2 linked regions of the Daphnia pulex genome follow. The main gene of each other region encodes a partner of the protein of the gene in region 2 in a complex. Links are inferred from orthologs where the notes say so. Each region holds a gene or a part of one and is shown on either strand. Other genes may lie near its edges. The genes, in order: protein polybromo-1-like and AT-rich interactive domain-containing protein 2-like.

Region 1 (3,825 bases), on a different chromosome or scaffold from region 2:
TGTACTCAAAAAGTCTCGAAGAGTTCCTGTAGCAGCTAGCAAACTGCGTAGATCGAGAAATTTTTATTTCGTAATTTTCTACTTCAATGCCAAAAAACTATTTTCAAGTTTTCGAAAGGTATTTTACGTATCGTATCTCCCTATTAGGTTGTTTGAATATTTATCGCTCAGACCTTTCCAGTTTTCGACAGAGGCCAGAAAAACGAGAAAGTAAAAACTTTCCGGATTGGATTGATCCCCATGAACTTAAAAAGTAGCAAAAGTTGACTCCGTATAAAAGTAAAAACTTGATTTTTTCACCGTAAATCTGATTGAAATACGTTAACCACAGGTAAAGACCACGGTGGTCTTTATCTGTGATGTCAACTCTCTCTGTCATGATCATGGTCACGAACATGTCACGAATCACGATGGTAGATATTGTGATATTGAATTGAATGGACTTGACAACGGCGTTAGGAATGAACATATATATTAGCAGACGATCGAAACCCAAATAGATAAGCACTTATGTATTCATCAATACTTGTGGCCTACTTTAACTTTGATAATTTGTCTGTTGTCTCATCACGAGATCATTACTAGCTAAACAGGTATCATTAAAGTATGGACGGTCAACCTGCTTACAAGTTTCTCATAACGGGTGGCGGCGGTTACATTGGTTTCCACATAGGCTTACGACTTCTTCAGCTTCAACATGAAGTCATTCTTTTTGACGTTAATTATCCTGCCAAAAAATGGGATCCAAACATTGAACATTCAGTCTCACACAACACAGATGGAATGAAAAGCGAAGAAATCTCTTGTTCCCATGGAACAATGAAATTCATCAATGGTAATTTACTCTCTCTAAAATGGTTGCTCTCCAGTCTCATTCATTTTTCAAAATGTACCGTAGAATGTTATATTTATAAAATCATTTAATATGTATTCAAAGGAGATGTAAGGGACATTGATAGATTATTGGAAGCAACCCAAAATGTAACATGTGTTATACATACTGGTAAGAAAATTTTTCATATTTTTTTTTCTCCATTTACTTAAACTTATTTTTGAATTATGCACAGCTTCATATGGAATGTCTGGTCGGGAACAAATGCCACCCTACTTTGACAAAGTAGAAGAGGTTAACATAGTCGGAACACGTAACGTCATCAAAGCATGCGCCGAGAACAATTGCAAAGGCCTGGTGTATACAAGCACATACAATGTTGTCTTCGGTGGAGATGCAATACTCAACGGGGATGAAAGTCTGCCTTATTTCCCGTTACATCGTCACGTTGATCATTACTCTCGCACAAAATCAATTGCCGAACAACTAGTCCTTACCAGCAACGGACGCGGAGATCTACACACATGTGCACTTAGACTAGCTGGTGTTATTGGGCTAGGCGAGTCAAGACACTTGCCACGTGTGCTTGGTGCTATCCGTAAGGGCATGGTACGATTTAATTACTACGACGAACATGGTGGAAAGGTCGATTTTATTGGGTTAGAAAATGTAGTTCAAGGACATGTAAAAGCTGCATTAAAATTAGCAGATATCAATCGCAATATTCCTGGAATAGGCGGCCAAGCGTTCTTTCTATCTGATGGATGTCCTGTCAACAACTTGGAATATTTCAAACCATTAATGGAACATTACGGACAGCCGTTTCCCACTACCCGAATACCTATGTGGTTGATGTACATTCTTGTTTTTTTCGTGCATTTTGTTTACAGTGCTATTTATCGATTCATCGACTTTACTCCTTTTCTCACTCCCGCCGAATTGTTCAAGACAGGTGTTACCCACTATTTTTCTATAGACAAGGCTCGCAAACAGCTGGATTATCATCCCGTGAGACCCAATGACTTATCCGAAATTATTACTGATTTGCGAGAACCGCATCGATCTTCGTGATTTCAGTTCTTGACTAAATTTGCGTTATAGTAGAGTTTTATAGGGAATTTTTACGGGTTAATTTTCTGCTATCCAAATAGTTATAATATTTGCAATGCCAATTCACATTATAAAAGGGTTTCCTAAATTGCATTATTATTATATAACATGTAATACAGAAGCTGGGTTGGAGAAATCAAAGTTTAAATAGGGTCCAAATTATTCTGTGATCTTTTTTTTCTTATTACTTTAACATCAATGCCTCCTTTCCTTCCTATTTTGGCTGTTTGGGTTATTGGGTAAATATAATATAAAATTTGTTACTTTGCGATTATTTGCATACACGTACTATATAAAAAAATGTTATTATTTTTTAAATTTTTCTGTAAAAAAACCATTATAAAAAAGAAACAGTGCATCATCAAATCCCGTTTAGTAAAGAATACTTTTGGCGGGATTTCAAAAAATCGATACGAAAAATTCACTTTTTACACTTGGCAACGCTTACGCACACTATACAATAACGCCAATAGCGTCCACAAAAAGGGTATTTAGTTATTTACATATAGGCGTTTCGTTTTCATTTTTTAACGATCCTTTAACCCTCGTGACAGTCCCTATTATATCTCACGTTTGTAAAGATTGTGCATTTTTGTTTCGCAGTTTTCTGTGAAGTCGACAGTTTCGTTCCGGAAGAAATGGCGGAGAATTCAAGAAAACGCCGCCGGCTCGACCCTATCGAAATTTGCCAGCAAGCTTACGACGTGATTCGAAACTTCAAAAAAGAAGACGGAGCTCTGTTATGTGATGCTTTGATTAGAGCCCCAAAGAGAAGACAAGAGCCTGCCTATTACGATGTTGTGTCAAACCCAATTGATTTGTTAAGAATTCAGCAAAAGATCAGGACAGATGAGTATGAAGATCTGGACCAAATGACTGTGGATATTGAGCGGTTGGTTAAGAATGCCAAGAAGTTTTATCCAGAACATTCAACGGAATACCAAGATGCTTGCACTTTATGGGATTTGTATAAAAAAACAGCTGATAAAATCAATGAAAGTGAAAGAGTTGATGAAGTACCTGAGGTAAAGCCAGTAAAAGAAAGAATCGTTGTCAAGTTGGGACGACCCCCCAAGAAGCCTGTCAATGTCTCTCCTATTGAATCAGAAGATGCAGAGTCTGAAGAATCGAGGGATAATTTTTCTTCGTCTTCTTCCCAGCATTTAATTGATGAAGATAACATGTACGAAGAACTTTTTGCAGCGGTTATGAATGCCACTTCATCAGATGGAAGATTACTTCACTCAGTCTTTCAGCTACTGCCATCAAGAAGACTTTATCCTGACTACTACCAAGTTATAGAAAATCCTATTGACTTAAAACAGATAGCCACAAAAATTCAAGCCAATGAATATTCTAATCTCAATGAAATGGAAAAAGATTTGAATCTTCTAACAAAAAATGCATGCAGTTATAACGAACCTGGTTCCCAAATTTATAAAGATGCCAAATTACTGAGAAAAACGGTATCTTCTCGAAAAGCCGAAATTGAACATTCTCGTCACACTGGAGGCAAAATTAGCGAAAGAATTAGGTATGAAGCTAATATACTCCATTTAATTTTCTCTATTAATAAATATATTTTTTTGGTTATAGAAGTAAGCGTGCCAGAGCAACTCAGTCATTATCAGCAATTACTGCTGCCCTTCAATATGACGACTCTAACGACGAAATGGGTGAAGCATCTAAATCATCCGACTTATCTTTTAAAGGTAGCACTGTCCTTATTCTCGTATTTGAAAAGATTAACAATTAATGAATTTGAATATCAATTTAGATGAAATCGACGAAGATAGTGAATTGGGTGGTTCACATATTCGTCCAGATGACGCTGATTCAAGCCCATTCTGGCAGTTGTACGACGCTGTCCATAATTACGTCGA
Region 2 (4,257 bases):
TTGGGCCAAACGACCTAAAGTTTCCATACAACGGAGTACAATAAAACGGTCGTTTGACTCCAATCCTCGTGTGACCGTCCCCAAAAGAATGGCCGACAGCGAACAATCTGCGGGATCCTTTAAATTGACCTGCAAAGAAATGGCCGTCAGCTATCTAACCGCAAATTCCACTTTGAGCACAAAACTCCTTTACCTCTAATGCGACATTTGATATGGCATCGAAGGCCAACTGTGGTAGACAAGACCACCTGGCATGAGCAGCCAAAAGAAGAAGTCGCATACAAGCTTCGCTTTGAGCTAATACAGCCGAATTGACATCATCAAAACTCAAATTGCGAATGACATTAAGAACCTTGAATGAAAGACACGAGAATAACAGGTTTAATTTGCAACTTTCCAAAGGTAAATAGAAAATTCTAACCTGTAAAACTCTTTGACCGAGAGCATCGTGAACACCTTGATCCCGACCAACATGAAATAGATCCAACTCCTCTGGTTCTAATTGTAGCACAGGATCGTCCTGTTTAATTGGAGGCTGTTCGACGGGACATCGAGCAGCTCTGCGTTGATCCAGCCAATAGCGGATGGCACGTGGATTATCTGGTTTTTGAATGGCAACTGGCAATTTGTTTTTGGGAGCAACGACTTTCCTCTCCACATTGGTCTCCGCTTGTGAAGGTGTTTCCAACTCGAAAGCGGCGTTGGACTCGGTAATTGGTGGAGCGATGCCGTCATGTGATAAATCTGGTTTGGTGTGCGATTCAGCATCTTGAGAAGATTCCTGCGCAGCAGCAGCAGAAATATCCTCACAAACGAAATCTTCGTCGGTCGGCTGAATACTCCGAGATGGTTCGACAGCAAAATCGTCTTGGGCAAAGGAGGCAACAAGATTCTCATCATTTTGTAAATATCCAGGAACTGCAACGTCGCTGGCAGGTTCTATGGGGCTATTGGCTGATTTTGCCAAACAATTTTTGAAGTTTGGCTCACAACTGGGCACTCTTTCCACGTTTGGCGGACTAGTAGCCGAAACCACATCAGATCCTGAGGCTGACAATGGACCCGTTCCATTTTCGTATAACATGACACTACACTGAGACTCTTCCTCAATTAATGTTGATCCTTCTTCAATCAATGTTGATTCAAGTTCGTCCCCTCTGGAATTTAAGGTCACTGATCTGATGGGTCTCTCACTACCTAATGGGCGTACGACCAGATGCACTTTGTTTGTTGCAGATGTACTGCCATTTTCTTCTGGAAGAAGATCTGACGGTAGAGTCCTTGATGAATCAGCCTCTCCAATAGCACTCGACGCTGTATGAACAGATCGGTGATCCCAATACGGGCCCACTACAGCTGTAACATCGTCTGGTGTGACCACTAAATCTTCTTCAGACAATTGTACAATGTCAGCATCCGGGACAACATCACGCCAAAATCGGCCGAGGTTCTGCCCACGAAATTTTCGGTAACTATCCGTGAATAGATCTCGGATGTCAACTGTAAGACAAAGCCCAGAAAGGTGGGATAGAATTAGAAAAGTATACTTAAAACAGCAACTTCTGTAAGGTGTACCTTGCGAAAAGATTCCAGCGTGTGCTAGTAGAGCATCGACGATGCGGGGACACTGATGGAGGGGAAACGGTCTTCGGCTTTCCATTGCAAGAAGACTGCAAACATTGATGGCGAAGTCTTGCTCGTTGGGTAGAGGACATAGAAGGGAGAGGAACACTCGCTCAGTCGGTGTAACCTGTATCCCATCAGTCGACAACCCAGCTGTGTTTCGCACGTGATCTACAAAATAAAAGTTATTGAATGCACTGCAATCGATTGTGTAAAGCAGTTGTCAAACCTGGGATAACGTGCTGCGCAGCATTATAAGACGTCGGAGTGGCATGAAGAAGTCGAAGGGCTTTACGTCGGTTGCGGGCGTCATCCTCTTCGTGATGTTCAGACTCGCGTCGATCAACTTCTTCGCCCAAAAAGTGTATCCTCTCGTAAACATCCAGGTATCTGTTCGTAAACAACGGTTATTATTTATCTGTTGATATTTGCCATGCTTAGACTGTTATCATGAAATATACCTTATATAAATTTGCTTCAAAGCAATTGGTCCATTGGCGCATAACCGGTGAATGCCAAAGTAGGGAAGCAGAGATTCCCATTCGCCGTGTACGTTCACCTAATCATTTGACATTTAAACAAACAAAATTATATTAGAATAAAAACCTATATCGAATTGAAACTGAAAAATTTTAATCTAGCAACCATAGAGTTGTTTATACTGGAAGGAGGTCATGCATTTAGCCTTTCAAAAGTTGACAATATAATGAAACCAATACCTTTTCCCATCCGCCGTGCGAAGTGACGAGTGAGTAGAGAAGATATAAATCAACTTCATGACCGTGGAGACGTGGAAGTTTGTTGAAACTCGTCCTTAAAAAAAAAACACAGAATTCAAAAATGTTAAAATAATCCTCAAAATAGGCATTATAATCAAATTTTTCTTTGTGTCACACTAAGCAAGAAGAGTACACTCATCATCAAGTCCTTGTAATTGCAAAGCATGTTATTTACCCTCTGATGTCATGAAAGGATTTTAGTTCCCGGCAAAAAGACGAATATTCATCGGCATACGTTTTGGCGTCTTTGCCGAGATGTTCAGCCATTATTGTTACCGGCCCACCACACCTAAACGGTTAGGGTTCAGTTGACAATCCTCTAAGCATTCGTCAAAGCATTCTTAAACGGTACCGAGAGGACAATGACCAACAAATCGATGGGCGCCAAAACAAAACAAAACAGAAAGCAAGGAGGAAAAGGCGCGAGGATCACTGAGTTGTCATCGGCACGTGTGTGAGAGGGGCCGTGAGTGGGGAGATGCCAAGGGCGCGATTTTCTTAGCATCGGTTTGTGTTCGAAACACTAGGGCAGCTATGGATCACGGCGTAATCTTCCATTATGAGCAAGGACGAATTCACAAGGAAATAGATCAATCACTTGGCAAGTGGACACAACACAGTGGCTTTTCCAATTCCACTTGGATGGAACAAGAGTCACAGAGTATTGGGGCTTGGTTGTTGTATGTGCAGCAGAATACTATGTTCACTGGGGATGCCAGGGCAAAATGGCGGCGAAAAGTTCTCAGACTACACTTTAACTGCAAATATTTTGTCACTTGTTTCTTGACCACACAGCAGGTAAGAAGATCCCGATCAATGGGAAGCAAACTTTCTGTCACGAGCGGGCTAGTCCAGCAAGAGTGTTCCAGTTGTTGTGGGCGCACCGTACCGCGCGTCACAAGTCCCGTGCCGATTTTCTTTCCTTTCCTTTGTAAGCAGGCAGGCAAAGCATTAAATTTGTCTAAAGCTATCTTCAGACCCAACGCCACCTATCGGAACCAAGCGCACGGTTTTTTCGAAGCTTTGGCAAACCGTGGCAAACAGAGAGAGTTGACACAACTTCTTCATCAGATCGTGCTCGATTATTTGACGTCTCTGTGGTTGGATTAATCGTTCGCTTATTTATTTTTGATTAAAAAATACATGCCTACGTGATTAATTTAAAAAAAAAAAAAATGCAAGCCTACACGCCATCTAGTTGTCGTATCGGTGACCGTCAATATAACGCCATCTCGTGCCTGACAGTCGAGTCCTCTAAATACAATTTGCAGCCATTTTGCTACACACGTGTAGAGCTGTAGACTGTAGAGCAAGTGAGCAAGAGAATCTGCCTGTACTACACAGTAGAAAGACGTAAAGCTTCCTGCAATGACTTACAAGTAAAAAATACATTTATTGATTACGCATTGTAATGTTTTAATGAATGTTTAATAAAAGTTAAAGGAAAATTTAAACAATTTTAGGCGTAAAAAGTATCATCGTGGAGAAACACACATCCGCAAAAAATACAAAGGAAAAAGACGTACTAAAGATCTGGATGAGGTATATAATAGTTAATATTTAATGTATTATATTTTGACTTTTAAGTTTCATTGTGATAATGTATATTTTCAGATTGATAATGATTTGAAACACAATTCTGAAAGCCTTCTTGCTCAGAAAATTGATGTTGAGAAAGCTGGTAACGCACAGTACTACTGCATACACTGCGCGTAAGTCATTTCATCCAAACACTAAATTATTGTAATATAATTCTATTCAATCTACAGAAGATATTTCATTGACGAGCATTCCCTCAGTCACCACTATCGGACTAAAGTTCACAAGCGTAGACTGAAAGCATTAGAGTTAGAGC

The links.
Region 1: AT-rich interactive domain-containing protein 2-like (region 2) and protein polybromo-1-like share a complex: the UniProt entries of both Homo sapiens proteins name them as parts of the SWI/SNF-B (PBAF) chromatin remodeling complex. The link is inferred for Daphnia pulex from reciprocal best matches to the Homo sapiens genes ARID2 and PBRM1.

Annotation. Positions count from the first base shown.
Region 1 is NC_060022.1:3,968,672-3,972,496, reverse strand, and holds part of protein polybromo-1-like, read left to right. Parts: intron 1-463; exon of another isoform or gene 464-606; coding exon of another isoform or gene 607-835; intron 836-937; coding exon of another isoform or gene 938-1,003; intron 1,004-1,067; coding exon of another isoform or gene 1,068-1,903; exon of another isoform or gene 1,904-2,202; intron 2,203-2,298; exon of another isoform or gene 2,299-2,545; 5' UTR 2,546-2,580; coding exon 2,581-3,476; intron 3,477-3,538; coding exon 3,539-3,654; intron 3,655-3,719; coding exon 3,720-3,825. Other genes in the region: short-chain dehydrogenase/reductase family 42E member 1-like, read left to right, coding at 607-835, 938-1,003, 1,068-1,903. UniProt on the Homo sapiens protein: Involved in transcriptional activation and repression of select genes by chromatin remodeling (alteration of DNA-nucleosome topology). Required for the stability of the SWI/SNF chromatin remodeling complex SWI/SNF-B (PBAF).
Region 2 is NC_060025.1:6,746,668-6,750,924, forward strand, and holds the start of AT-rich interactive domain-containing protein 2-like, read right to left. Parts: upstream 2,895-4,257; 5' UTR 2,755-2,894; intron 2,692-2,754; 5' UTR 2,670-2,691; coding exon 2,578-2,669; intron 2,437-2,577; coding exon 2,343-2,436; intron 2,183-2,342; coding exon 2,085-2,182; intron 2,014-2,084; coding exon 1,853-2,013; intron 1,795-1,852; coding exon 1,576-1,794; intron 1,501-1,575; coding exon 422-1,500; intron 353-421; coding exon 194-352; intron 130-193; coding exon 1-129. Other genes in the region: zinc finger protein 593 homolog, read left to right, coding at 3,771-3,781, 3,866-3,944, 4,017-4,114, 4,172-4,257. UniProt on the Homo sapiens protein: Involved in transcriptional activation and repression of select genes by chromatin remodeling (alteration of DNA-nucleosome topology). Required for the stability of the SWI/SNF chromatin remodeling complex SWI/SNF-B (PBAF).